7 linked regions of the Rattus norvegicus genome follow. The protein of the gene in region 1 binds, or shares a complex with, the protein of each later gene. Links are inferred from orthologs where the notes say so. Each region holds a gene or a part of one and is shown in the gene's direction. Other genes may lie near its edges. The genes, in order: Sf3b5, Htatsf1, Cwc15, Snrnp40, Dhx16, Srrm2 and Ddx42.

The links.
Region 2: Sf3b5 (region 1) and Htatsf1 share a complex: the UniProt entries of both Homo sapiens proteins name them as parts of the 17S U2 SnRNP complex. The link is inferred for Rattus norvegicus from reciprocal best matches to the Homo sapiens genes SF3B5 and HTATSF1.
Region 3: Sf3b5 (region 1) and Cwc15 share a complex: the UniProt entries of both Homo sapiens proteins name them as parts of the minor spliceosome. The link is inferred for Rattus norvegicus from reciprocal best matches to the Homo sapiens genes SF3B5 and CWC15.
Region 4: Sf3b5 (region 1) and Snrnp40 share a complex: the UniProt entries of both Homo sapiens proteins name them as parts of the minor spliceosome. The link is inferred for Rattus norvegicus from reciprocal best matches to the Homo sapiens genes SF3B5 and SNRNP40.
Region 5: Sf3b5 (region 1) and Dhx16 share a complex: the UniProt entries of both Homo sapiens proteins name them as parts of the minor spliceosome. The link is inferred for Rattus norvegicus from reciprocal best matches to the Homo sapiens genes SF3B5 and DHX16.
Region 6: Sf3b5 (region 1) and Srrm2 share a complex: the UniProt entries of both Homo sapiens proteins name them as parts of the minor spliceosome. The link is inferred for Rattus norvegicus from reciprocal best matches to the Homo sapiens genes SF3B5 and SRRM2.
Region 7: the proteins of Sf3b5 (region 1) and Ddx42 are in contact, whole or in part, in a cryo-EM structure (PDB 7EVN), measured with the Homo sapiens proteins. The link is inferred for Rattus norvegicus from reciprocal best matches to the Homo sapiens genes SF3B5 and DDX42. Residues at the interface, in NP_112577.1 of Homo sapiens: Arg4, Tyr5, Thr6, Ser9, Gln10, His13, Leu14; in NP_031398.2 of Homo sapiens: Asp156, Ala159, Tyr160, Phe161, Tyr163, Met164, Asn167.

The regions. Positions count from the first base shown.
Region 1 is NC_086019.1:9,175,424-9,178,562, forward strand, and holds Sf3b5 (splicing factor 3B subunit 5), read left to right. Parts: upstream 1-1,765; 5' UTR 1,766-1,910; coding exon 1,911-2,171; 3' UTR 2,172-2,478; downstream 2,479-3,139. UniProt on the Homo sapiens protein: Component of the 17S U2 SnRNP complex of the spliceosome, a large ribonucleoprotein complex that removes introns from transcribed pre-mRNAs.
Region 2 is NC_086039.1:139,971,288-139,975,854, forward strand, and holds the start of Htatsf1 (HIV Tat-specific factor 1), read left to right. Parts: upstream 1-1,454; 5' UTR 1,455-1,656; intron 1,657-1,673; exon of another isoform or gene 1,674-1,844; 5' UTR 1,845-1,900; coding exon 1,901-2,086; intron 2,087-3,437; coding exon 3,438-3,618; intron 3,619-3,948; coding exon 3,949-3,996; intron 3,997-4,401; coding exon 4,402-4,556; intron 4,557-4,567. UniProt on the Homo sapiens protein: Component of the 17S U2 SnRNP complex of the spliceosome, a large ribonucleoprotein complex that removes introns from transcribed pre-mRNAs.
Region 3 is NC_086026.1:19,585,597-19,590,027, forward strand, and holds the start of Cwc15 (spliceosome-associated protein CWC15 homolog), read left to right. Parts: upstream 1-1,319; 5' UTR 1,320-1,441; exon of another isoform or gene 1,442-1,610; intron 1,611-2,651; exon of another isoform or gene 2,652-2,656; 5' UTR 2,657-2,659; coding exon 2,660-2,790; intron 2,791-3,293; coding exon 3,294-3,406; intron 3,407-3,939; coding exon 3,940-4,028; intron 4,029-4,431. UniProt on the Homo sapiens protein: Involved in pre-mRNA splicing as component of the spliceosome. Component of the PRP19-CDC5L complex that forms an integral part of the spliceosome and is required for activating pre-mRNA splicing.
Region 4 is NC_086023.1:148,011,870-148,015,852, forward strand, and holds part of Snrnp40 (U5 small nuclear ribonucleoprotein 40 kDa protein), read left to right. Parts: intron 1-727; coding exon 728-789; intron 790-3,843; coding exon 3,844-3,947; intron 3,948-3,983. UniProt on the Homo sapiens protein: Required for pre-mRNA splicing as component of the activated spliceosome. Component of the U5 small nuclear ribonucleoprotein (snRNP) complex and the U4/U6-U5 tri-snRNP complex, building blocks of the spliceosome.
Region 5 is NC_086038.1:2,872,977-2,876,959, reverse strand, and holds part of Dhx16 (pre-mRNA-splicing factor ATP-dependent RNA helicase DHX16), read left to right. Parts: intron 1-189; coding exon 190-444; intron 445-551; coding exon 552-755; intron 756-836; coding exon 837-1,031; intron 1,032-1,140; exon of another isoform or gene 1,141-1,348; intron 1,349-1,612; coding exon 1,613-1,723; intron 1,724-1,832; coding exon 1,833-1,948; intron 1,949-3,166; coding exon 3,167-3,377; intron 3,378-3,551; coding exon 3,552-3,650; intron 3,651-3,728; coding exon of another isoform or gene 3,729-3,756; coding exon 3,757-3,909; intron 3,910-3,983. UniProt on the Homo sapiens protein: Required for pre-mRNA splicing as a component of the spliceosome. Contributes to pre-mRNA splicing after spliceosome formation and prior to the first transesterification reaction.
Region 6 is NC_086028.1:13,347,509-13,351,491, forward strand, and holds part of Srrm2 (serine/arginine repetitive matrix protein 2), read left to right. Parts: coding exon 1-2,794; intron 2,795-3,018; coding exon of another isoform or gene 3,019-3,031; exon of another isoform or gene 3,032-3,505; coding exon 3,506-3,793; exon of another isoform or gene 3,794-3,797; intron 3,798-3,799; exon of another isoform or gene 3,800-3,983. UniProt on the Homo sapiens protein: Required for pre-mRNA splicing as component of the spliceosome. As a component of the minor spliceosome, involved in the splicing of U12-type introns in pre-mRNAs.
Region 7 is NC_086028.1:91,676,351-91,680,333, forward strand, and holds part of Ddx42 (ATP-dependent RNA helicase DDX42), read left to right. Parts: intron 1-604; coding exon 605-715; intron 716-2,015; coding exon 2,016-2,117; intron 2,118-2,672; coding exon 2,673-3,347; 3' UTR 3,348-3,983. UniProt on the Homo sapiens protein: ATP-dependent RNA helicase that binds to partially double-stranded RNAs (dsRNAs) in order to unwind RNA secondary structures. Unwinding is promoted in the presence of single-strand binding proteins.

The DNA.
Region 1 (3,139 bases):
TATCCCTTTGCTTAAAGTACAAGTGGTCAAATCCCACTCTACCTCCAAGCCCTGCAGACAGACAGACAGACAGACAGACAGACACACACACACACACACACACACACACACACACACACACACACACACATCCGGAAACCAAAACTCATGAAGAAAGAGATTTGTATTTCATAATCCCACTGCCACTGAAATCCCATACTACTGTGTTGTCTAACAAAATATAAAACTCTGTGTAGTACGGCTGATGGTGAATCCACGGGTATTGCCGTGTACATCTACATTTTAGGAATAAGATGTGTATTGTGGGGGTTGGGGATTTAGCTCAGTGGTAGAGCGCTTGCCTAGCAACCTCAAGGCCCTGGGTTCGGTCCCCAGCTCCGAAAAAAAGAAAAAGAAAAAAAAAAGATGTGTATTGTGTCATTTAAGTGTTGGGTGCTGCTTGTTTGGTTGGTTGGTTTTATTTTTCGGGACAGAGTTTCTCCCTGTAGGCCTGGCTCTCCTGGAACTCAGAGAGCCACCTGCCTCTGCCTCTAAAATGCTGGGATTAAAGATGTGTGCTGCCGGGGTTGGGGGATATAGCTCAGTGGGAGAGCGGCAAGGCCCTGGGTTCGGTCCCCAGCTCCGAAAAAAAGAAAAAAAAAAAAAAGATGTGTGCTGCCACCACCTGGCAAGATGCTTTATGACAAAGTTTAGACAGAAGAATAAATATTAGATGGAGTTGCACAAGTCTCTAGTCTCAGGAGTCAGGAGGATTGCTGTGAGCTCAGGGACAAAACTTCGCCTCCCCCCTCTTACATCAAATAAACAAAAGTACCCCCAAACTCCTGTATTTTCAATTTGTCTGTCATCATCCATCCTCTCTGGCTATGATTGCTCTTACCCCATTCTTAAGATTTTTTTTTTTTTTTGAGAATACAATCTTCATCACGCTATTCGCATATCCTCAGGGAGTACCATGAAAGAAGTACAATTATCTTTTTCTGAGTAGTTTGTACCATGCGAGAAAGTGCACAACCCCCAACATAAGGCAGAAATCAGCAGAAAAACACAAGATGAAGAGAAAGAGGTTTCTTGTCTCGAGCCATATCCGACTTCAAGGAATAGCCTATGAATGACCTTAAAGAGGGGTTGTTTGCCCAAGGCCACAGAGCCTAGGTGGGTTGAGAAACTGGCGCCTGGAACTCCTTAGGGAAGCCATTAATGAGACTACCAGTGCTGACACTGATCAACAAGCAGCTAGCGAGAGTCAAAAAACAAAACAAAACAAAACAAAAAAAAAAAAAAAAACAACAAAAAAAAACTTTTCCCGGTACCCAAATCCTAAGAGACAAAACTTGGGCCAAGGCGGAACCATGCCACCATGTTAACTTCTAGGTACAAGAGTTAGTTTTCCTCGTTGCTCATACTGTTGTGTTGCGGCAGTATGAGATTTCAATGACAGTGGGATTATGAAACCCACGTAGGTTTCTCCTTCTTTGTAGCCCGGAGCCGTGGGATGAAGCTTCGAGGTTTTTGGACATTGTCCTATATAAGCCAGGCAAAACCCCTCAAAAACAATCTAAGACAAACTCTTTGGACTACATGTCCCAGAATGCAACGCGAGGGTTAGAACGTGATCACCCAAGAGCCACTAAGAGGACCATCATGCAACGCTCTTCGAAGTAGGCGGGCTCCGTGAGGAGACGGCCCACTGTTTCCTAGGCAACCCCAATCCCGCAACAGACTTTATTTCCCCTTCCGCCTAGGAAAAGAAAGTACTCCTGCGACTGCGTGTCGTCTTTCTCCTGCGCCAGCACGAATAGAGCTTTTGTGCGGCGGCAGCGGCGGCGGCGTCTCTCTGATTTGAACGCCGAACAGCGGTAGCTTCTCATCTGTGGCCTGACCTCGAAGCCTAAGAACAGAGCGGCGAGATGACGGACCGGTACACCATCCACAGCCAGCTCGAGCATCTGCAGTCCAAGTACATCGGCACGGGCCACGCCGACACCACCAAGTGGGAATGGCTTGTGAACCAGCATCGGGATTCCTACTGCTCCTACATGGGTCACTTCGACCTCCTCAACTACTTCGCCATTGCTGAGAATGAGAGCAAAGCGCGCGTGCGTTTCAACCTGATGGAGAAAATGCTGCAGCCCAGCGGGCCGCCGGCGGACAAGCCGGAGGAGAACTGAGGCGAGCGCTTCCCAGCCTTCCCCATCTGCCATCTGTGGACCGATCCTCCTGACTCCTGCTTCTCGACCATTCTCCGTTGGGTGTATCGCCTGACCTGCTTACCTGTGGACGGTTCCGAACAAGTCATCGAGAGACTGTCGGGTCTCCTGGGAGCTGTGCGGAAGGAGTGATCCCAGAATCGGCAAGCGAGGGAGAAGACTGCCTGGGAGTGATGACGCATTCCGAGTCAGCTTTTCGATAGTTGATGTCGTTCTCGCCTTTTTTTTTTTTAAATATATATCATACATAAAGTTAGGATTTGTTATATCTTTTGGTTTGAATTGCTGTGTTCTTTGGGAGGTATTTGGAGAGAGTTCTGTGGATCAAGATTTCGTGAGAATATGACTAGAAAACGGGGGCGGAAGCACAGGGCAAGCGTTTATTGACAAGTACTTTAGTTGTCACACACACTTTTATGATCTTCCCTCACCTCGATTTTCTTCATGCCTACAGTGTGTCTGGTACCAAGGAAACCTTCAAGCATGGAGTTTTTCCACATTCCTTCCCACCCATTTCTAGTCTTTGCTGTCATTAACCTCACTTCCCTTTATGCTGCAGCCCCCTCCCCCCTTTCTTGGTAATTAGTTTGTGTGTCTTCAGAAATGACAAACTGGCAAACAATGGTGTCCTGTCCCGACCCTGCTCCACCTCTCCCCATTCAGTTTTCACCAGAGCATTTTCCAAAGGTTTGAGGACATACATTATGCCGGCCAGTTTGGAAGCAGATATGCTAAACTAGTCAAGAGTTAGAAGATGGAGGGGGATGGGGCAGCTTGAGGAGTTTACAATTTCAAATCCCACGCTTATGCTACATGACCGAGATGGTGACATTTGAGGACAGATTTCAAGGAATCAAGAGAAATAGCCACGCAGAGCATGGGAAGGTGTTTTCCATCTAACAAGGCCTGCCCTGCAGTGGGCCCAAGAG
Region 2 (4,567 bases), on another chromosome or scaffold:
AACAAAATCCACAGCATGCATATAAATTCAGTTCTCCAATAGTTCTACTAAAAACAGAACCTCATAAAAATAAATATATTTGGAAACAAAAAATACTGTTTTATTTTTTTAACATCGTTAACGTGGGATCAGATTCAGAGATTTGTGAGGAGCCAAGATGTTCTAGAACCTAGCTTGAACCACTGTGTTTACAAACAAAGGTGACTGGAATGGAAATAATTTCTAAGAAGCTTTTCCCTACAGTCAAGTCTTGATTATAGTACTGATGTCTACATGTATAGTTTATTGCTACTTTTAGTGATTAAAATTTTACTTGCATAGTTAACATTATGGCAACAGACGTTGTTGTTTGTTGATAAACGTAGTCCACACACCAAAAAAAAAAAAAAAAGCTGTTTAGAATTGTCTAGTTTTTGAGTATTAAAGGATGCTGAAAACAAAATAAAACAAAGTAATTGCTGCTGTCCAGCATCTGGTGCTTCCACCCTATTGTTCGCCAACTATAATTGAACCTCCCTTGATCTGTCTTCTCAGCAGCTGCCTCAGAATCGCCCCCTGGCACTTAATAGTTCAGTAAATGCCTGTCTGTTTTAAAAATATGGACCTCTTCCCTTTTCGAGGTACATGAAACATCTAAGAGAAAAGTCCCGCTTTTCTTAGTAAGGCAGTAGGCTGTCTTACTAAGAAACAAGGAAATGGGGCCACATGGTTCATCTCCTATTTGTACAAGGGGATGTTTACAGTCAAGCTTCAAATTCCAGGCTGGAACACCTCTGACACGTTGCAGTAAGCCGCAGGCAAAAGCTACTCTCACCTACTGCAGTCTGAGGGTGGTACCAGAAGCATAAAAACGGGGTGAGATTTAGCTCAGTGGTAGAGCACTTGCCTAGCGAGCGCAAGGCCCTGGGTTCGGTCCCCAGATCCGGAAAAAAAACAAAAAACAAAAAAAAAAAAAAAACGGGGTGAGATTAGGAAGCGATGGCTTCTGCCCACTTTTCTTTCACTCCTTCTTCACTAGACGCCAAACAGTATATTAGGTGTTTGGGTTACTAAGGTGAACAAAAGCCGCGTGTACCCTAGGGCAAGCATTTAAAAATAAGTAAACCCTTGGCTTCTGCGCAGGGGCGGGGATTTGCGCGAAGGAGGCGCAAAGGTTTCGCGAAGCGGGAGAAACTTGTCCCACGGTCCCACCCACCTCCCCAAGATGGCGCCTGCCGCAAAGCCCAAACACAGCCAGCTCGTCTGGAAGAGTTCCGCGTCCTTTTTCAGGCAATCGCTGCGGCGAAATTCGTCCGGAGTGCAGAGGAGCCCAAGGTTCCCGAGGTGCCACGCATTTCTGCAGGTTGCGTCTCTAAGGCGAGTTACCATTAAGTATGGACACGCGGCGGCAGCCAGGCTTTGAAACCCCGCCCCTGTCCGCGCAAGCGTCGCGGACATATGACGCCACGTGGGCGTGTCGAGCGATCCTTACGTCGCCACGCGCGGACAATGGCGACCGCATCAGTCTGAGGCGGACTTCGTTCTCAAATAGTTGCCTGACGTGGCGGAGGAAGCTGTAGTGCCCCCGGAGCCAGCCGCGGCGGTAACCGCGCGCTTGCGCGCTTCCGCCTCGCCCTAGACCTAGCGGTGGCGTTGAGACCCCGCGGAGTCCGCCAGGTGGGTGGCGGCGACAGCGCTGGCAGTTTCTAGACGCATGCGTGCGCGAGTGGGGCGGGCAGGAGGGCGGAGTTGGGGTGGTACCGCTTAGACTTCCCAGGGTCTGCTGGGGCGCTGCGGGAGGCGGCCGGGGAGTTGCAGTGCACGTTCTGAGCTCTGCAGACCTCTCTTTCTCTGCTCTCTTCCAGCGCCCTTTTGGCCTCTTCACTTCTCTGACCGTTGTGTCCGGGACTACGTGAGAACCATGAGTGGCAGCAACTTGAGCGGGAACGATGAATTTGATGAGCAGTTGCGAATGCAAGAATTGTACGGAGACCCCAAGGAAGGTGACACCCAGAATGAGCCCTCTGGAGAAACTGATTCTTTGGGACAACCACCAGATGACACTCCCTACGAGTGGGACCTTGATAAGAAGGCTTGGTTCCCTAAGGTAAGAGAGTAGCTTGAGTCCCACTGTGGAGCGGGACATAGGGCTCCCTGACCACCTTTGCGGGACATCCCTCTTATGTTTGCTCCGCTGAAGTACTTGGTCTTTGAACTGGTGGTTGGTGGCTAGTCTGTTCAGTCTATTGCAGCCCCGATGTATAAAGAAAAGTAAATCTTAGAGTGGTGCCTTAAGTGTGTTTTTTTAATGTCTTATTAATTTGTGTATGTGTGTGTGTGTGTGTGTGTGTGTGTGTGTGTGTGAAGGTCACAGTTCATTTTTATCTGGATATTTTTACTGCAAAGAGGAAAAACACCAAGAAAAACACATTAATAAGAGTTTTATCCTGTATAACCAAACTTAACTTACGCTTCGTGTACATGCTTGTGCCTAATGTAGCTTGTTGATTTACCGGGTCAGAAAGCAGTCATTCAGCTCATTCTGCCGAATAAACTTTTCTTGATTCTTGTTTTGTTTTATTATTCTACTAAATTTTGTTCCAGGACATCTAAGTTTGGACCCTCTAAGCACAGGAGTATGACTAGGAATGCGCAGGAAATGGATGAAAGAGAACTCTACATTTGTTTCCGAGTACTTGGGAATTGCTAAGTGTTTAGTTTCAGCATGGAAATAACACAACTGGTGTTGAACCCGGTGTTATAAACTGTAGGGTGAAAGTACTCTGTTAGTTTTAGCCTCATGGGAACTTTGGCATCAAAGGGTACTAACAGCACACCAAGCGATTGGAGAGCCAATCACACACAACTTTTCTCCATTGTGCAGGGGGATTGATTGTTGGTTCCAAAATTCTTTATTTCAGCTATTCTTTCTGATTTTGTATTTGCGCATATTTCAAGCACCCCAAACTGTAAAAATTTACAATTGAACTTCTGGACTTGCAATGCCTTTTCGAATGTAGATGAGATTTCTTTCTGAGCACTTATAATAGTCTGACAAACTATTATTTGGTATCTGGGCACCCAAAAGTAGATACTGCAATAGATTGCTAGTGGACTTTGGGTTTTACCATCTTGTTATTCGATACTTCTTTTGTTTTATGTATTGGCCACTTTTGTTAAATATACTGTAAAGAAGTAGTAGTTTACAAGAATGTAGAAAAAAGTGGTAGCATCACTTAAAACTATGCGTGTGGTTTTGGCAATCTGAGCACCCTTGTCCTACTTTGATTGCACTACACGTTTTCCGTATAAGGTGACTGGTCTTGGATTATATTTTAATTAGTAGAACTACTTGTGGTATAAACACTTGTTTAAGTCTTAGCTTATATTGTTGAATGTAACACAGTTTCCACAAGTGAAGTCACCTTGTCCGTCCATGTGTTGACTTATTTATCTAGATCACCGAAGATTTCATTGCTTCGTATCAGGCCAACTACGGCTTTTCTGGTGATGGTGCACCCAGCTCTACTGGGAATGTCCAGGACGCCAACACTAAGACTGTAGAAGAGCCGCCACAGAAAGAAATCCCGGAAACCACTGACTCCAAAAAGAGGGGAGAAAAGAGAAAGGCTGAATCTGGCAAGTGGTTCTGTCTTTGCAAAGTCCGGGTTTAAAAATGAGATAGGAAAAATGAGTGAGTCCATTGTACATGTTGGAGGCAAGAATGATAATGTGAGTTTTCACTTTAAGATAGGGTTATAGTCATGAAGGATAGAAAGAACGCTAAAGGTAATTCTCAGTCAAAAGGTTTATGTCTTTTGGAAGATACGTAGGGATTTGAGTTAGGCGTAGTTGTCTGAGATAAAGAGGACATTCTAAAACTTTGAAGAAACTGCCTTTGCTAAGATTTCCTAATGTAATTCTTGTTGTTTGTTTCAAGTGTTTTATTTATTTCCCTTTGATTTTTAGGATGGTTCCATGTTGAAGAAGACAGAAATACAAATGTATATGTGTCAGGTATTTATCCTGTTGCAGTGCAGTTTTCACGTTGGTATCCTTTAGTGTTGAAACTGCGCTAAGTGAGTTTTAGTTTCGGTGTGTTTTGTTCACCTGCTTATGCTAGCTGGAATTTAATGAGGAGGGATTGAAGAAAAGTTATGCAGTGTTCCATGCTGTTTTGTATGCCTGCCTTAGAGAATTCACAGCAATTTGTTCCTTTACATTTAGTGAAACATACGCATAGCATAACTGATATTTTTAATATATAAAATGTGAATCCTCTTCACATTTATAGATAGGAAGTTGTTGTACTCATTTACCCAAATTAGCCTTGTATTCACATAAGTTTCAGGTTTCTCATTGGTAAATGCTAAAGTCTTTTACTGTCATTAAACACTTTAAAATTGTTCTCTGAAAGTACAGGTCTCCCTCCAGACATCACAGTGGATGAATTTATACAGCTTATGTCCAAATTTGGTATTATTATGAGGGATCCTCAGACTGAAGAATTTAAGGTCAAACTTTACAAAGATGATCAAGGAAATCTTAAAGGAGATGGACTTTGCTGTTATCTAAAGGTTGGTATTTG
Region 3 (4,431 bases), on another chromosome or scaffold:
ACACAAGTGGTTGTTTTATCCTAGGTGTCAAAAACACTAGCTGGTAATCTGAAAAGATCTCCTGTTCTGTGCAAAGCTAGGAACATCCCTTTAAGGCAATTACAAATCCAAGAGGAAAATGCCAGTGGCCTGAATTGAGGGTTAGTAACAGGGAAGGGAAGCTCAGGGTAATTTTCACAATACTGGGCAAGCATGGCAAGTGAACAGGATGTGATGAGGGAAGGTAGAGGGTCTCCAGCTTTGGGTTGGAGCCACTAATATGATAGCAGCGTCCTTTGTGTGAGGCTGAGAGAGGTGCACACCTTCCATAAATTAAAAAAAAAAAAAAAAAAAGAAAGAAACGAAGCTTTTCACCTTCTACTTTCAGGGGAGGCACATTGGGGGGGGGTTCTTTTATAATTCTCTTTCTTCATTTAAAAGTTCCAAAGGAAGGTCAGGGAAGAACTGAAATGTTCAGTTTTAGGAGATCCTTCCACTTGAGATAAACTGGAGAACAGAATTCTCTTTATCGAGCATTGGCCGTCCCCAAAATCTCAATGATGGACACCAAGACAACGTTGGCGAAGCCATCTTACCCATCTCGTGCTCCTCCTGGCAGTTAGGCCCACTGTTCCATAAATTCTCACTATCGTAAACGCTCACGGCATCTCCTCTCACACTACAACGCTTAATGCATATAGCTATGTATATATATATATATATTTATATATCTTAACAAGCAATGCGACTATAACCCCTGCCTTCAAGGCCAGTGGTTTCGCAGGAATGGTACCTTTGGAAAGCTCGTGGCTGCCCCCGTACTTATTTGCGCCTTCTTCATATCCACTTAAGTGACAACTCTAGTCCCTAGGCTGCGGGGTCTACTGAGGAGCAGGAGCCGTTGGGTCGGTCAGTTGGCAAGCTCTCCTCAGATCTCAACGCTTGCGAGACGCGGACCGGCTCCTGGCGCCTTCCGTCCTCGCAGAACCGCAGCGAAAGAGTCTGGGAGGGGGTCGGGAAAGGAAAAGACGCAAGAGAGATTAAGTAATTGGTTCTCAAAGGCACAAGATGATATTTGGGGTCGACTATGAAGCACCGGTTTCAAACGCCCGCCCCCTAAGCAGCCTTGGCTCCGCCCCTAGGCGACGTCACTCCATCTTTTTCCCGTGTCTCTGCGGATTGGTCACTGGGTCAGCCTCTAAAAGACGGTTAAAAAAAAAAAAAAAAAAAAAAAAAAAAAAAAAAAACCAACTCGGGATTTGCTTCCGGGTGTGGAGTTCGCGTCTTCTACACAGCCGTTGGGAGCGCGAAGATTTTGCTTCCGGGTCTTAGTTGAGTCCCAGGTGTAGAGACTGGAAGTTCTGCATTTTGCTTCCGGTTTTGCGCAGAGATTTCTGGGAGTTAAGGGTCGCAATGGTTCGTGAGTGAGCTTCTGAAGGCACTGCGTCGAACCCCCGCCACAGTGAGTAGCAGGGCATAGTGGTTTGTGGTCCCTGTGCGGGCCGCACCGGGGAGTCGGAGAGCCGTGACTATCGTCCGGGCCGCGGTGCTGGAATGGCGGTCGGGAGCTGCAGCCGAGCTCGGGGCGGTCACCGGCGCGGCACCGCTGACACTGAGAAAAGCAAAGGAGGGTAGGATGGGGTAGAAACTCCCACGTCCCACACGGTCTGTCTGAGCATGCTGCTTAAGCTAACGGAGATTTAGTAGCCCTGTAGTTAGGCTGGAATTCTTATTTGACAGCTAAAAATTGCAAAAGGTTCTCTGGTAGCCTAGGCTAGCTTGGAACTCCCGATTCTATTGCTCTCACCCCCCAAGCTCTGGAATCACAGGAGTAGTACCCAGTCATGCCCAGTTCTTGATGTTTGGTTGAGTGGAGTTCCGATTTTCTTAGGATTGCGTTAAGTTACAGCCTACCAAAGCTTTACGAATGTTGCGGTAACTGCTTTAGAGGGAAATTGAATCAACAAGATTCTGGGGTAATGTTGCCAGTGTAAATGTCATTGGGTTTTAAACAAACTCTAAGACACTCAATAAGTTTGCCTGTAACTTTAAAAGAAATTTGTTTTTTATTGGTCCATTTGCTGTAGTGTGAGGTTTCTGATAAAAATGCAAATCTTGGCCGGACAATTCCAGCAGTGCAGAGGCAGTCTGGTAGATCTCTGGAGAGTCCTAGGCCAGCTTGATCTGCATTGTGAATTCTAATTCAGCCAGAAATACATTGTGAGATCCTATCATAAAAAATAAATAAAACAAAATCTCAGAGAACCTAGTGCTAGTGGGATATAAAAAAAAAATTTAAGTCATTTATTTTAAAAGCCACACTACACTGTTGTCCAAGATCTGACATCACGTGTCAGAAATCTCATAATAATTCTATAGAAGTATCAACATTCCACAAGTGATAGAATCAAGCTAGGAGACTTGCGCAGGGCTACCCAGCTAAAACAGAAGCACAGACTCAGACCTTCAGAGTAGTTATTTATATCAAATAAGAGCTGCCTGGCAGTGCATATCTAGTAAACACCCTGAATTTCATGATTCTGCTCTTTAGAGACTTGTACTGAAGCAAACTACTTAAGCAGTTCTGGGGAGAGTTTTGAGAATGATTTAAGGACAGGTAATTATGAATGATCTATAAAATGAAAGTATAATTAAACCCATGTTTGTCAAAGAATAGAAGATGACAACAGCAGCCAGGCCAACTTTTGAACCTGCAAGAGGTGGGAGAGGAAAAGGAGAAGGTGATTTGAGCCAGCTCTCCAAGCAGTATTCAAGCAGAGACCTTCCCTCTCATACAAAGATAAAGTACAGGTAAGAAGCCTTTCATTTGTCCTGTTCACAGAATGGAACCAACCATGACTTATGATCATGTCTAAATTAATAGTATTTAAGTTACCGATCTTCCAAGAAAAGGCTTTCAAAAAGTTTACAATACAATTATTTGCTGTAGTTGTAAAGTGCTCTACGGTCTTTCAGCATAAGTTCCTATTGAGCAGGGATTGCTGGTGTGGATGAAGCCCTCACTAGTCATGATAACCAGCTCAGTCTTCTGAGTGAGTATGGGAGTTGCTGTAACAGCCCTGAGTGGAGGACTGTTTTCAAGAGACGTCCTGCTGTAGGAAGTTGTGTGATACGGAACCCCACGAGTGTATTAATAGCACTCTGATTGGGATATTGTCCTCTTCCGTTTTGTTCTTGATTGACACTTACATTCTGAATTGTCTCAAGTTGCTATAGCCATATAGGTTCTTTTCCTTGACAACTGGGGGCAACATTTTTGACCTGTTTTGGCTTGTTTTGTTTTTCTACTTAAGACAAACCACACAGGATGCCCCTGAAGAGGTTCGCAACCGTGACTTCAGGAGAGAGTTGGAAGAGAGGGAGAGAGCTGCTGCAAGGGAGAAAAATAGGGACCGTCCAACCCGAGGTATCTGCTGTCCCTCGTGTGTCACATAGTTATGTGATGCAAACTGTTTCCTGGTGATTGGAAACAATTAACATTGTTGTGAGCTATACCTCTTTGATAAGAGACAATAATGAGGTTTATTCCAGTCCCATCTTGTCATGCATTGGTACTGAAGACATGGTGACCTGAAGTGTTTAAAACCATTTTTCAGTTCCTGTCAGTAGACTTTGACTTTACAGCAGCTGGAACCCGCCCGAGGCCTTCTGTCTGGGACTCCCCATGTAATTGATGAGTTTTGAGAGAAGCATCAGTTACCCTTTTTATGTTTCTACCACATGTGAGCATTGGCTAGTCTCCTGAGACGCTGTGATCTGCGTGCTCACTAATTCACCCCATGTTAACCAACAAGTATTTATCAGAGACTTACTTGCCCGTCACAGGGTGGGTCCCTGCTGTCACTGTGCTTTGTGTGGATTCTTTTTGCCCAAAGGTTTCTAAAATGTTACTTAAAATCCAGTATGTACTTCAATATGCTAAATGTTTGTTTTCTTCAGAACACACAACTTCCTCTTCGGTGTCCAAGAAGCCCCGCTTAGACCAGATTCCTGCTGCCAACCTTGATGCTGACGATCCTCTCACAGATGTACGTGTTTTAGGTTTGGGTTTGGGTTAGCTTGTGTTTATTTGTTTGCTTGTTTCAAGCCGCCTCAGTGCTGGAACTGTGGGCCTCTGCCATTGGGCACAGCATATCATATTTTCCTGAAAAAAAAATTTAATACACTTTGGCTTTATGTTACTGAAATATATCACTGACCTCGACTTTGAAGTTTATATTGTTTTTAAAACATCAAGTATTCTTCTGTGTCAAGGACTTTTAGGACAGGTTTAATCCGGAGGGCTGTGTGGAAGCAGTCAGTGAAAAAGGATATGCCCACCCCTGACAGTATTGTCAGTGGTGCAGGAGGTTAGCCTGCCTTGCTTGAACTGCACAGGACACTGTCAGGATGAGTGCCCTGTGAATAGCACATTGAGCATTCTACCCAGGG
Region 4 (3,983 bases), on another chromosome or scaffold:
CCCCCCCCCCCCCCCGGAGCTGGGGACCGAACCCAGGGCCTCGTGTTTGCTAGGCAAGCGCTCTACCGCTGAGCTAAATCCCCAACCCGGGTCAAACATTTCTGCATCTAGTTTTATGTATTATAAGATTACAAAGCAGGCCTGAGAGTTGCCTCAGCAGTTAAAAGCACTGACTGCCCTCTCAGGGGACCAGGGTTTGATTCCTGGTAACCACAGAACATAATTGTCTGTAACTCCAGTCCCAGGGGATATGATGCCTGTTTCTGGCCTCCTCCGTTGCTGGGCACACATGTGATGCCCAAACATACTTGCAGACAGATTACCTAAAATAATACACTTAGATTGATAATAAATAAGGTAGGCCAGGCCATAGTGGCATATGCTTTTTTTTTTTTTTTATTCCCAACAATTGGGAGGCAGATCTTTATGAATTCGAAGCCAACCTGGTCTACAAAGTGAGTTCTAGGACAGTCAAGGATGTTGTTACACAGAAAAACCCTGTCTAGAAAAACCAATACATGAATAAGAATTTTTTTTAGAAGTAAGATACGGAAATATTTAAAGAAAAATTAATGAGATTACAGAGCGTGCTGTTTTGAGCAGGAGTGTGATGGCTGATGACGTCTGGGAGATACTGAAGCCTAGTAGGGAATTAAGTCAGCTGACCCCTAGTGCAGCGAGACGGGTTTAGCACACTAACTGTTCATGGAGTCTTTTTTCATTGCAGAACCTCCTGAGGTGTTCCTGGTCACCAGACGGAAGCAAGATAGCAGCTGGCTCAGCAGACAGGTAAGGGTCCCTGGGTATGAGGTGGAGAATGGGGTGGCTATGCGGGTCCCACACCTAATGCCTAACTGTGAAGACAACAGAGGTACAGCTTTCCACGTGACTGAGGGGCTCTCAGAAGTGAAGCCGTGTGAAGACAAATGGTTTAGAGCCCATGTTGGACACACGTAGTTTTCTGTCTGTTTGTTTTTAGGCCTAGAGAGTCGACTGTGTTTATATCTGTTGGAGACTGATAATCTTCCTAGTGTCTCTGCCTTCTCCTTCCCGTCATGTAATACATTAGAGGCTGTCCCTCCTGCCATTCTTCTCCAGGGTCTCTCACACCTCCCTCAGTGCTCTCTAGACTGTCTTCCCAGTAACCACTCTGCTCCTTCTCTGAGCTATCCATGGCACTCTCTCAGTGTTCGCTCCCTCGCCTTTTCTCTCTCTTCTCCTTCACCCTCTCCCTTCCCCCTCTCTCCCTTTAGCATGACACATTGCTCTTTGTTCCATACATCTAACTTTTATACATATTTTTCTTCCTTACATTTAGACAGACATTGGGGGCATCTCTGTGAATGGCTCTCACAGTCAGAACAATCTTTTGACATCCTCTGTAAACCCAGGGTACTGGTTGGTGCTTGAATTCTGAGCGCTTGCTGTTTCAAGGACAAATTCCTAGGTCAGAGGTGACAATCAAATGCCACCCTTGTATCAACCCAGCATTTGGTCATAGCTGTCAATGTTAAAGATAATTCAGAATCAGCTCCAGGCTCGGTGGAAAGTGCCAATGTCGCTGAGGGAAGCAGGTTAGATAGCGTCCATCTCTGCCAAGTCACTAGGCTTTCCCGAGTATGAACTTAGAATGACTCAAGGCCTTAGTTGTGAATGGGAAACAGGGCAGAATTCACCTGTCAGATACAGGCTGGTTCTGGTGTCTGTGGTGCTGCGTACTTGGGAGAAAATCTGATGGAGTAGAGATTCTGAGTGCCAGGGACGAAGGACTTGTAAGTGACGCCTAGAGGTTCACAGTAGAGGCCTGAAAGCAGGGGTTCCCTTTGGGGACATGCTTAGAAACTTTGCAAGACAAGGTGTCATCATGGATCTCTGGCTGTCTTCAGACTCAGTGCGTACGGCAGACTGGCCTTGAACTCCGAGCAGGAGTGAGCTAGCGTGTCCAGCTCACATCTTCTGACTTACAATGTCTTCTTGCTCCTCTTCCTCTGACCAATCCTTAAAGAGGACACATGGCTTGGTGGAAGGAAAGCGTGCTCCTCTGCTGAGCTTGGCTGGATTTCACAGGCCACCCTGATAGCCTAAAGTCAGCAGTCAGTTCTGTTGTATAAGTAACCTGGTTTCTACCAAATGGTGACATGCCCACGTGTGGGGAGGACAAGGAACCCTCTAAATTTAGCATGTAATTGGCAGCCATGAGGAGTGAGCAAGGCCTTGAAGTAAACCCTTGGAGATCTAGGCTTCTGCTGGTTTCTGCCAACTTGAGAGATAATATCCAACTCAGAAAACCACTTTCCAGCTGTGCCTGGGTCTGGTGGGTTTCCCCTTCTGCTTACAGATCACCTCCCCCTGTGCCCTCTAACCCTCCGCAGCCCTGTTACAGGCACCGGCTGAGCCGCCAAGAGGATTCAGGTCAGCACATGACTTCATTGGCTCTGGCTGTGTAACACACTCACATTAGCAATAGCAGTCACTAATTCTGCGTGCCACTTTGCGTATATTCTTGTTCTCAAAAAGTTAGAATCCAGGGGTTGGGGATTTGGCTCAGTGGTAGAGCGCTTGCCTAGGAAGCGCAAGGTCCTGGGTTCGATCCCCAGCTCCGAAAAAAAGAACCAAAAAAAAAAAAGCTAGAATCCTTTTTTCCCCCACCTTTTTTTTTTTTTTGGTTCTTTTTTTCGGAGCTGGGGACCAAACCCAGGGCCTTGCGCTTCCTAGGCGAGCGCTCTACCACTGAGCTAAATCCCCAGCCCCTCCCCCACTATTCTAACGAAAGAAAGGCAGTTGTCTGACAAGCTGGCCAGTGAGTCCATGCTGTGGACCTTGCCCCCACTATTCTGACTCCAGTGCCGTCAGCCTTCCCCTCTGCCTGGGGCGGGGCTGGTGAGGGACAGTGGCTTGTGCGTGGCAGAGATAGGCATCAGAGGGCATGAGCACTAGCTCAGAGGCAGGGATGGGGTCTGCCTCCTGTCTAGACTATTTAGGTCTTATATAGCCCAGGATGGCCTTTAAATTCCATGTCTTGCAGCCTGTTTGTACCAAGTGCTGGGTTTACACGCATGTGCCAATATACCCAACTATTCCAAGTGTGTTACTCAGATTTGGAGCCCACACGGAGAGAGCACAGGACATAACTAATGAACTCTTGTTCATTTGTTGAGTATAGGGGTTTAGACCATCTCAGTACATTCTAGGCTGGCCTCAAACCCATAGTCCTCCTGGCTTCCCTCTTCCCAGTGCTGGGATTGCAGGTATAGTCTTTCTGTGATTTCAGAATTTTGTCAATTCTGTAAATAGCATAATCAGTCATGGACTGTATCTATTTTGTTGGGGTTTGTTTGTTTTTTAGCATTCTTTTTTTTTTTAAGATTTATTCATTTATTATATATAAGTACACTGTAGCTGTCTTCAGACACACCAGAAGAGGGCATCGGATCTCTTTACAGATGGTTGTGAGCCACCATGTGGTTGCTGGGAATTGAACTCAGGACCTCTGGAAGAGTAGCCAGTGCTCTTAACCACTGAGCCATCTCTCCAGCCCTTGTTTGTTTTTTGAGACAGGGTTTCCCTGTGTAGCCCTGGCTTTCCTAGAACGAACTCTGTATATCAGGCTGCCCTTAAACTCACAGAGATCTTAATGCTAGGATTAAAGGCATGCAGCACTGCTGCCTGGCCTCAGTTTGGTTGGTTTGAAGCCCCAAATATTCTCTGTTTCAGTTGGTGTTGTCCTGTTTTCCAAAGCCCAGAGGATTGTTCAGTAAGCAAACGTTCTCCATTTTGCTTCCAGCCCAAGTGCTCTGACCCTCTTCTAAGGGACCTTCCTTTGTTTGTTGTGGCATCTTGCAGGTTTGTGTACGTGTGGGACACCACAAGCAGAAGGATCCTGTATAAGCTTCCTGGTCATGCTGGCTCCATCAATGAGGTGGCCTTCCATCCCGATGAGCCCATCAGTAAGTCCATGTCTGCCATGACTGCTCCAGATGGGA
Region 5 (3,983 bases), on another chromosome or scaffold:
TGTCACCTCGGCAGGATCCAGTCATTGCGTCTGGGAGTAATTCCCCTACCTTTGAGACTTGATGAAATATCAAACAGCTAGAAGGCCTCACGCCCGCCTCCTCCTTGGAGTTTTTTTCACACTCCACATGCAGGGAACAGTGTTGTGGCACTGGTAGGATGAGGATTTGACTGTTCCTTCCTGACCCAGGTCCCTGAGCTCCGTAAGAAGTCTCGTCGGGAATACCTGGCAAAGCGGGAGCGGGAAAAGCTGGAGGACCTGGAGGCAGAACTGGCTGATGAGGAGGTCCTGTTTGGGGACGTGGAGCTGAGCCGCCATGAGCGCCGGGAGCTCAAGTACAAGCGGCGTGTGCGGGACCTGGCTCGGGAGTACCGGGCGGCTGGCGAGCAGGAGAAGCTGGAGGCCACTAATCGCTACCACATGCCCAAGGAGACTCGAGGACAGGTGAGGGAACCGGTGTGGTGGCTGCTCCCTTCCCTCTCCTGTTCATAACTGGTAGAAGCAGTGGTGGGGAGGGTCTTCTTCAGCTTTCTCGGCTGCTCTCCCCGTAGCCCGCTCGAGCCACCGACATCGTCGAGGAGGAATCAGGGGCCCCGGGCGAGGAGCAGCGGCGCTGGGAGGAGGCCCGTCTGGACGCCGCATCCCTCAAGTTTGGGGCCCGAGACGCTGCTGCCCAGGAACCCCAGTACCAGCTGGTGCTGGAGGAGGACGAGACCATCGAGTTCGTCCGTGCCGCTCAGCTCCAGGGCGACGAGGTGAGAGGGAGAAAGTCCGGGGTAATGACAGGAGGGCCTCTCAAGGTGGTGGGGACCTCAGCACCTCTGTCCTTTCCTCAGGAGCCGTCATCAGGCCCGCCCCTGTCAGCCCAGGCCCAGCAGAAGGAGTCCATCCAGGCCGTGCGCCGCAGCCTGCCAGTGTTCCCCTTCCGAGAGGAGCTCCTGACCGCCATTGCCAACCATCAGGTCCTCATCATCGAGGGCGAGACTGGGTCAGGGAAGACCACACAGATCCCACAGTACCTCTTTGAGGAGGTCAGTCGTTACAGCATGTCACTTAGGGCCCACTCAGCCCTTGAGTCAGTCCTGGGAGACCCCCTTTGTGTGATGGTAAAGATGTCCTTTCCTGTCCTTTCTGCTAAGTCATGAGGCTTTTGAGACTGACGAGGCCACTCTTTCTACCATTTTGTTCTCCCCGCCATCACATCCATACCTGGTACGAGTTGTGAACGTGCAGGTCTCCCATGGGAGCAGTGAGATGAGCATCATAGATTGGAACCTCTTGGGCTTCCATCCCGCACGACCTCGGCCCTGCTTTCCCTCTGCAGGGGCCAGAGAACTAAAAGTAAAAGGTGTTTTCCTACTGTTTAACCGCATGTCTCCCATTGCTTCTGGGTATGCCTCGGCCAATCTGTCCCTGGTCAGTTCAAGTCCAGCAGAGCCCTGCCTATAAGCCAAGGTCTGCAGGCTGGCTTAGCATCCCCGGGGGCCCTTGGCTTCTCTCTTGTCTGTCTGTCCTTCTCTGGCTTTCATCCCATCTGTTCTCCTTTCCCTGCCCTGCCTGGCTCACAACAGCATGTCTAACAGAGGAGTAACCCCTCCTTCTCTCCTCTTAGGGTTACACCAAGAAGGGTATGAAGATTGCTTGCACCCAGCCCCGGAGAGTGGCGGCCATGAGTGTGGCAGCCCGAGTGGCCCGGGAGATGGGGGTGAAGCTTGGGAATGAGGTGAGGTCTTTGGGGATTCGTGAGAGGGAAGCTTCTTACGTTGCTGGCATGGCCCCACACCTCAGGTCTGGTCATCGGTCATTCCAACCTCTTGACTGTCTGTGACCAGGTGGGCTACAGCATCCGGTTTGAGGACTGCACATCAGAGCGAACTGTTCTCCGCTACATGACAGATGGAATGCTACTCCGGGAGTTCCTCTCTGAGCCTGACCTCGCAAGTTACAGGTGCGTGCATGTGTGTGTGTGCGTGTGTGTGTGCGTGTGCGTGCGTGCGTGTGCGTGCGTGTGTGTGTGTGTGTGTGCGTGTGTGTGTGTGTGTGTGTGTGTGTGTGTGTGTATGCTTTGCACAAGATGCCCCACCTCCCCCTCAGAGATTCTCGCTTCCTTTAATCTCTCTCTATTCTAATGGGTCCAGGTGGCCCTTATCTGTTCTTAGTGTTTTGAGACAGGGTTTCTCTGTAGCCCAGGCTAGCCCGGAATCTACTATCTAACCTTAGCTGGCCTCAGTCTCGTGGGTCACATTGCTGAGAGTACAAGAAGAGCCACCAGGCCATGCACTGTTTGCTTTAAGTTCTTAGTTCCACTTCTTCCAGTGAGAACAGCTGTCTCTTGACTGATCCAGAGATGTCTGACTTGTTCTAATCCTAGGTTAAAGGAATCTAGACTCTTCCCTGCCTCTTTGTTCTTTTATATTTGAAAAAGAATTGTGTGTGTGTGTGTATATGTGTGTGTGTGTATGTATGTATGAGTGTGTACTTATGGTGTGTATATATGTATGTATGTGTGTATGTATGTATGTATGTGTATATGTGTATGTATACAATTGTGTTTGTATGTATGTATGTATGTACGTGTGTGTATGTGTACACGTATGTGTATGTATTTGTGTGTATGTATGTGTATGTATATATATGTATGTGCATTTGTGTATGTGTGTGTATGCAGTTGTGTATATATATGTATGTGTGTATGTGTGTACATGTATGTATGTGCGCACATGTGCATATGTGTGTATATATGTATGTGTATATGTGTGTGTGTATGTGTGCACGTGTGTATATATTTGTGTGTGTGTATGTGTGGACATGTAGGGGATCAGAAGACAGCTTATAGGAGTCAGTTCTGTACTTTCACCATGTGCATTCGAGGGATCAAACTGAGGTCGGCAGGCTTGGTGGCCAGCACATTTACCGCTGAGCCATGTTACTAGCCCCGTCCTGACTGCTTCTCTTGGCCAGTGCCCGGATGGGCCGCAGATCACAGAACCCCCCACCATGCTCACCATCTGCCAACATTACGTAATTGGAACATTTGACTTCTCCTTAGCCTCCTCCCACTCAGTCCCCTTTCCCCCTGAGGTCCCTCCATCCCTCTCTTTGATCCAGCCCTGCACTGCTAAGCCCCTGCCGCTTGTCCCTCACCAATCTCCCACTTTCTCCCCAGTGTGGTGATGGTGGATGAAGCTCATGAGCGGACCTTGCACACAGACATTCTCTTTGGATTGATCAAAGATGTTGCTAGATTCCGACCTGAGCTCAAGGTCCTGGTGGCTTCGGCCACACTGGACACTGCTCGTTTTTCTGCCTTCTTCGATGATGCCCCTGTCTTCCGAATCCCTGGACGCAGGTTTCCAGTTGACATCTTCTATACCAAGGTGCCCCTCGGGAGGATGGGCTTCCGTGTGAGGCAGAGGAGCTGGGGCTGGCTTAGGAGGATGTCCCAATGGAAGGGTCTAATGGACACCCAGAGAGGGGTGGGCATTGAGCAGGGACAAGAGCCTGCCTGAGCAAGTGGCCCTTCTGTGACCCTGTGTCTTCCTCCTTCCCAGGCCCCAGAGGCTGACTACCTGGAAGCCTGTGTGGTGTCTGTGCTGCAGATCCATGTGACCCAGCCCCCTGGGGATATACTGGTGTTCCTAACGGGACAGGTGAGTACTGTGGTGGGAAGTGGTTGGAGTGTTTCGGGGAGGATGGGGCTGGTGTGTGGGTCCTATGACTGACTCCAGGTCTCCTGCCATCCTGCTCCATATTCAGGAGGAGATTGAGGCTGCCTGCGAGATGCTCCAGGACCGCTGCCGCAGACTGGGCTCCAAGATCCGGGAGCTCCTGGTGTTGCCCATTTACGCCAACCTGCCCTCCGACATGCAGGCTCGAATCTTCCAGCCCACGCCCCCCGGGGCCCGGAAGGTCAGTGGGAGGACCCTTACCACACACAAGCAAGGCACATGCTGTCCCCTTTGTTCCAAGTTGTTTGCCTGGGT
Region 6 (3,983 bases), on another chromosome or scaffold:
GAGGCCCTTCCCCTGAAGGAAGCAGTAGTTCTGAGTCTTCTCCAGAGCATCCCCCCAAATCCAGAACTGCTCGAAGAGGCTCCAGGTCCTCAGTGGAGCCAAAGACAAAGTCCCGCACGCCACCTCGACGCCGGAGTTCTCGCTCATCTCCTGAGCTAACCAGGAAGGCTAGAGTCTCTCGAAGAAGCCGGTCTGCCTCCTCATCACCAGAAACCCGTTCTAGAACTCCACCAAGACGCAGAAGAAGTCCTTCAGTATCTTCACCAGAGCCAACTGAAAAGTCAAGGTCTTCAAGGAGGAGGCGCTCAGTTTCTTCTCCCCGTAACAAGACAACTTCAAGGAGAGGCCGGTCTCCTTCACCCAAACCTCGTGGACTCCAAAGATCCCGATCCCGCTCACGTAGAGAGAAAACCAGAACAACCCGACGTCGAGATAGATCTGGATCATCTCAGTCAACATCACGAAGAAGACAGAGGAGCCGGTCTAGGTCACGGGTTACTCGGAGACGGAGGGGTGGCTCTGGTTACCATTCAAGATCACCTACAAGACAGGAAAGTTCCCGAACCTCCTCTAGACGCAGAAGAGGCCGCTCCCGTACACCCCTGACCAGTCGGAAGCGATCTCGATCACGCACATCACCAGCTCCTTGGAAGCGCTCTAGATCTCGAGCCTCACCAGCTACTCATCGGCGATCCAGGTCCAGAACACCCCTGATCAGCCGACGTCGATCCAGATCTCGTACCTCACCCGTGAGTAGGAGACGGTCAAGGTCAGTGAATAGGCGTAGATCTCGATCAAGAGCATCTCCAGTGAGTCGAAGGCGATCCAGGTCCAGAACACCACCAGTAACTCGTCGTCGTTCAAGGTCCAGGACACCAACAACTCGCCGTCGCTCTCGTTCTAGAACTCCACCAGTGACTCGCAGAAGATCCAGATCCAGGAGTCCACCAGTAACCAGGAGACGATCTAGAAGCAGAACTTCACCTGTTACAAGAAGAAGATCAAGATCCAGGACATCCCCAGTCACCCGGAGAAGATCGAGGTCTCGAACATCTCCAGTCACCCGTAGGCGGTCCCGTTCCCGAACCTCTCCAGTGACAAGACGCCGTTCCAGGTCCCGAACTCCTCCAGCCATTCGGAGACGCTCTAGGTCTCGGACACCACTGTTGCCACGCAAGCGCTCTCGAAGCCGCTCACCACTTGCTATCCGCCGCCGTTCTAGGTCTCGTACACCTAGGGCAGCTCGAGGCAAGCGATCTTTAACAAGATCTCCTCCAGCCATCCGTAGGCGGTCTGCATCTGGAAGTAGTTCTGATCGCTCACGTTCTGCCACTCCTCCAGCAACAAGGAATCATTCTGGATCTCGGACACCTCCTGTAGCACTTAGTAGCTCTAGAATGAGCTGTTTTAGTCGTCCTAGCATGTCACCAACTCCTCTTGACCGATGTAGATCACCTGGAATGCTAGAACCCCTTGGAAGTGCTAGAACACCCATGTCTGTGCTCCAGCAAACTGGTGGCTCAATGATGGACGGTCCAGGTCCTCGGATTCCTGATCATCCAAGATCATCTGTTCCAGAAAACCATGCTCAGTCTAGAATTGCACTTGCCCTGACAGCCATCAGTCTTGGCACTGCCCGGCCACCTCCATCCATGTCTGCTGCTGGCCTTGCTGCAAGAATGTCCCAGGTTCCAGCTCCTGTACCTCTCATGAGCCTCAGAACAGCCCCAGCTGCCAACCTTGCCAGCAGGATTCCAGCAGCATCTGCAGCAGCTATGAACCTTGCTAGTGCCAGGACATCTGCTATTCCAGCATCTGTGAACCTTGCCGATTCACGAACACCTGCTGCTGCAGCAGCCATGAACTTGGCCAGCCCTAGAACAGCAGTGGCTCCTTCAGCTGTGAACCTTGCAGATCCTCGAACCCCTGCAGCTTCAGCTGTGAACCTAGCAGGAGCTAGAACACCAGCTGCATTAGCAGCTTTGAGTCTCACAGGCTCTGGGACACCTCCAACTGCTGGAAATTATCCCTCCAGTTCCAGAACACCCCAGGCTCCAACCCCCGCAAACCTGGTGGGTCCTCGATCTGCGCATGGCACAGCTCCTGTGAATATTGCTGGCTCTAGAACCCCTGCAGCTTTGGCTCCCACAAATCTCTCCAGTTCCAGGATGGCTCCAGCATTGTCTGGTGCAAATCTCACCAGTCCCAGGGTGCCCCTTTCTGCTTATGAGCGTGTCAGTGGCAGAACCTCACCTTTATTGCTTGATCGAGCCAGGTCCAGAACACCACCATCTGCCCCAAGCCAGTCTAGAATGACCTCTGAGCGTGAGAGGGCTCCTTCCCCTGCTTCAAGAATGGTCCAGGCTCCTTCCCAATCTCTTCTCCCTCCTGCACAGGATCGGCCTCGGTCACCTGTGCCATCTGCTTTTTCAGACCAATCTCGTTCAATTGCCCAGACCACTCCTGTAGCAGGGTCTCAGTCCCTTTCATCCGGGACTGTAGCAAAGTCCACATCCTCTGCTAGTGACCACAATGGCATGCTTTCTGGCCCTGCCCCTGGGGTATCCCATGCTGAAGGTGGGGAGCCACATGCCTCTACTGGGGCCCAGCAGCCTTCTGCATTGGCTGTTCTGCAACCAGCCAAGGAACGTCGGAGCTCTTCCTCCTCTTCATCATCATCTAGCTCCTCCTCCTCTTCATCTTCATCTTCGTCATCCTCCTCTTCCTCTGGCTCCAGTTCTAGTGACTCAGAGGGCTCCAGCCTTCCTGCTCAACCTGAGGTGGCACTGAAAAGGTGAGGGAATTAAGGGTTCTAAGGAGAAGGGACTCGAGTGGGGGAGTCGGGAGGGAGAAACCTTGTCACAGGCACTTGGCTTTGAGAAAGTATGGGGGACCTTGGCCTTCAAGCTGGGAGTAGAAAGAATGCTGGGTGGGGGCTTTGTGGGGAGGAATGGGACAGATAAAAATCTCCAAAGGTTAATTCTCCAGAGGATAATGATAAGTTTTCCATCTCTACAGAGGACAGAACTAGAGGAAATGGACTTAATTTTACAGCAGGAGGGATGGCAGTTAGACCTCAAGAGGAACTCCCTGGGCTGGAAGGATCTTCAGAGGTCATCCCATCCCTCTCCCTGCCTCCAGGCAGGACGGCCCCTCCCCAGCCAACCTGCACTCACAGGGGCCTCCCCAAGCTGCGGCTCTCCAAGGAAGGAGATCACCCAGCTTCAGCTTCCACATCTGAGTCCAGGGGCCTTAATCCTTCATCAGGGACATTCTTGAGGTTTAACCTTGATCCCTTGTGCTTCGGGCCCCAGCCTGTTGCTTGTGTTAGCAGAGGTTTGGTCAGCTCTGTGCCACTGCTCCAGAGAAGTGCTCACTGGCCTGCCTTCGTGGTTTCCCAGGGCCTTTCAGGCACCCCTCCCCCACTGCCGTTCCTCCAGGCCAAGGAAGGTAGGGTTGGGGTTGGGGCATCTTGTCTCCTTGTGACACCTTTCTTCTCTCACAGGGTTCCCAGCCCCACCCCAGTCCCAAAGGAGGCTGTTAGAGAGGGACGCCCTCAGGAACCAACCCCGGCCAAAAGGAAGAGGCGCTCTAGCAGCTCCAGTTCCAGCTCCTCCTCCTCCTCATCCTCCTCCTCTTCCTCCTCTTCCTCCTCTTCCTCTTCTTCCTCTTCCTCTTCCTCTTCCTCCTCCTCTTCTTCCTCCTCTTCCTCCTCCCCCTCCCCTGCTAAGCCTGGCCCTCAGGCATTACCCAAACCTGCAAGCCCCAAGAAGCCACCCCCTGGCGAGAGGAGGTGAGTGCTTTCTTGCCTGTTGTGGAAGGGGGGTTGGGGTGAGTTCTCCAGAAAAGGGACCCTGGGTGAGGTTCCTGCTGGGGTGCCTCGAGTGGACGTCTGTGTTTGGTTGTAAGGGAGACGGAGTGCCGGACTCCTCCCATTCTCCCACAGTGTTGTATTCTGGTCAAGGGCTGCACTATCCAACTGA
Region 7 (3,983 bases), on another chromosome or scaffold:
CCTGCAACTCCCATCCCAGCTTTCAATGTCCTTTGGCCTCTGCAAATGCACCCCCAGCATTTGGTGACAATAAATTCACACAGATACACATTCACTAATAAAAAGATCATTTTTTTAAAAAGGAAATATAAATCATTTTCCTCTAAAGTTAGACATGGCCGATGTAAAACAGTTATTTTACGTTTTATGTTTATTAATCTCTGTACTTCCGGGAGCTCCAGAAGAAGGAACTAAGGCACACCTTAGATGAGCACTTAGATAAGGCACACTGATAAATTTGGTGTGTCAAGCTACCAAAAAGAATACATATTGGAGTTGGGGATGTGGCTTGTTGTTTACAGTGCTCGCCTGGTGTGCTTGAAGCCCTAGATTTAATCCCTGTTGCCATGTAAACTGTGCATGGTGGCAAATCCTCCTCATCCCAGTCTTTAGGAAGTGGTAGGAGAAAGTACAGAAATTTCAGAGTCATCTGTGGTTTCAAAAGGTTCCTCTCATCAGAAAAAGATCAGCTAAAGATGAACCAAGAAGCTCCTCCTTCCTACCTAATTTTGTGACCGTGTCTGCTTCTCTTCTTGGGTTTAACCTTGAACTGTGTTTTTTGCAGAACGCCTGGTTTCGGAAGTCACGCTTCAAAGGAGGGAAAGGCAAAAAGCTGAACATCGGTGGAGGAGGCTTGGGCTATAGAGAGCGGCCTGGGCTGGGCTCTGAGAATTCGGTGAGTTCAGAGTACAACAGTACTATGGGCAAAGGTCCTATGTCTTAACCTGTGCTGAGTCGGTGTACCTGAAAGTCTCACGAGTCCCAAATCCTGTGGTTCAGGGATGCGCATGCGATGTGTCGTGAGTCAGTGTGGTGCTGTTCCTCACAGTGAAACTGCTGTGGGCGAAGTGTGTGTGCTCGGCTAAGTAGGCTAGATCTCAAATTGCAATGTCCTACTGACATGGGACCCAGCTGGTTATATATGCACATAATTTTGCACCAAATGATTGGTTTGGTATGATATGGTGTGGGGTTTTTTGTTACTGTTGTTTTGGCCTTTTTGGTTGGTTGATTGGTTAATTTTAGAGACAGGCCTTGGTCATCCTGGAACTTGCTCTGTAGACCAGGATAGCCTCAGAACTGCCTCTGCCTCCACCTCCACCTCCTAGGTGCTGGGAGTAAAAGCATGCCCTGCTTGCGGTAATCTGATTTTAAAAGCCTGTCTATACTGGCCTAGAATCTGTTACTTGGGAAACATTAACTAAGAGGGTCACTTGGCTAGAATTATATTCAGAAAAAGTCTCTACACTGAAAACTTTGGTCCTAAGAATTTGAGAAGATATAAATGGTCTCACAAATCACATAAAGCACACATGCACTCACTGGCTGGCCTGTCCCTTGTCACAGAGGTTCTTAAAGCCAGGGACAGAGCTGTCAGTATGCCTGGATGCAGTTTCGGTAGTAATTTGGCATCATTGGAAGATAGTATTCCCCATATTATGATGATGTTGGTTGTGGAATGTTAGTGATTCATGATAATTACTAAGCACTTTAAATGAGCTGGGGCCATTGCAGGTATTTCAGTGTTTAGCTAATGTAAATGAGTGCCAGTTAATGAAAGTTCAGTTACACGCTGGCAATTGTTGAATCTCAGATTCATCTCTTTAAATAGTGTCGCTTCAGATCCTGTGATGCTACATTGTGCTATATTACTGGCCTTTTCATCTTTAACATTTTTACTCAATAGAATGTTGATATAATATGCACTCGTATCATTGATAAAATACACAGTCATACAATATACAGCCATACAGTGATTGCATTCTGGTCATTGGGGTTGGTTCCCAGAAATAAATGTCTAGGTTGAGGGACTTAAGCGTTTCTCAATACCTCCTTATTGTTGTACCTTTTCCCACAAAGGAAGTAACTTCTAAAAAAATACCCTGTGCCTGCTGCAGCCCTGGACCCAGGGTTTCAGTGTGACAGGATTGTGCTGCAGTTGCTTCTCTAATAGGTATGCTTGCTTGCTTTTTTAGGACCGAGGAAGTAACAACAATGTAATGAGCAATTATGAAGCCTACAAGCCCTCCACAGGAGCCATGGGAGATAGGCTGACAGCAATGAAAGCAGCTTTCCAGGTCTGAAATAAATAAATATCCTGTTTTAAAAACTTTCAAGAGGGAGGGGGCTAGAGAGATGGTTCAGTAGATAAGAGAACTTGTATTCTTTCAGAGGATCCAGGTTTGTTTTCTTAGCACTCACAGCATTTTACAGTCATCTTTGTTCAGCTCCAGGTAATCTGACACCCTCTTGTGGCCTGCACAGGTATCGGCATGCATGTGCCATACATGCATACATACGGTATTCACAGGCAAAAATCACTATGACACTTATAAATAAATCTTTTTTAAAAAAACAAAAAACAAAACAACCAAACCAAAAAAAAAAAAAAAAAAAACTGTTCAACAGTAACTCCTGGAAATGGGAGGAAACCTTCCTGAGAAGGTAGCTGAGTCTGTAAGTTTCATGCTAGATTAGAGCCTTCTGTTTACTTGAATTTCATATACAGGCTTTAACAGTATCATGCCTGGATAGAGAAGTGGAGTGTCTGTAACTTTATCATTAAGAATTATCTATAACATTGTTTGTATATTGAAGCTTGTATACTTATTCCTGGTGTCTTTTTCTTTCAGTCCCAGTATAAGAGTCACTTTGTTGCAGCCAGTTTAAGTAATCAGAAGGCCGGAACCTCTACTGCTGGGGCAAGTGGATGGACTAGTGCAGGAAGCTTAAATTCTGTTCCAACTAATTCAGCACAGCAGGGCCATAATAGTCCTGACAATCCCATCACCAGTTCTACCAAGAACATCCCAGGCTTCAACAATTCTGGGAATATCAGTAGTGCCCCAGTGACCTACCCTTCTATTGGAGCCCAAGGAGTCAACAACACAGCTTCAGGGAGTAACAGCCGTGAAGGGATTGGGGGTGGCAATGGGAAAAGAGAGAGATATACTGAGAACCGGGGTGGTGGCCGTCATAGCCATGGAGACAGTGGCAATCGACATGGAGATGGTGGCCGCCATGGAGATGGATACCGTTACCCAGAAAGCAGTAGCCGTCATACGGATGGCCACCGACATGGAGAGACCAGGCACGGAGGAAGTGCAAGCAGACATGGAGAAAGCCGGGGTGCAAATGATGGCAGGAATGGAGAAAGCAGGAAAGAAGGCTTTAATCGTGAAAACAGGATGGACCCCAAGGTGGACAGCAGCAGGATGGACAAAGTGGACAGCAAGACAGATAAGACACCTGATGGCTTTGCTGTTCCAGAGCCACCCAAACGCAAGAAAAGCCGATGGGATAGTTAGAGGGTATGTGAAAATCAGCGTGGTCAGTTGTCTTTCATTTTATTTTTAGAAAGATTTTGGTAATGAGGTGTCTCAGGGCTGGGTTGGGGTCCAAGATATACAGACCCCCTGCCCTTGGTGGAGAACTGGAGCGTGGAGATATTATACCTTCATCTGGTGTTCATTCAGATGTTTTCATGGGAACCTGAGTTGGCCCTAGAAAGCAGAGGGCTGGGAAGCTTTTGTTTGCTCTGGGTGAGTTTAAGGAGGGGTAAGTAGGAAATGCTTAGGGAGAAAGGAAGGGCCTTTTAGGGCACAAAAACTCACTCTAGGTTTATAATAGCTTATATTTTTTACTAAAATGTCACCTTATAAACATCTATAATTGGATTTTTTTTCTTAGCTGTGGCCAGGCAGTCCCATATTTTGGAGTTGGCGTCTACAAACCCAACTTTTGACCTGTTATGGCTGCTTGGGAGCAGTTTGGTGCTTTCAGATGTTTGCAGGGAAGATACCTGATAACTCAGCTTCCCCAGACTTTGTTTCCAGCCCTGAGACATGTAGGAGACATGTAGGGAAAGACAGCCTTCCAGACAGACACAGGCTTTGAAATCCTAAGCCATTAGGACTGAAGGAATGATCATCTTGGAGGGATTC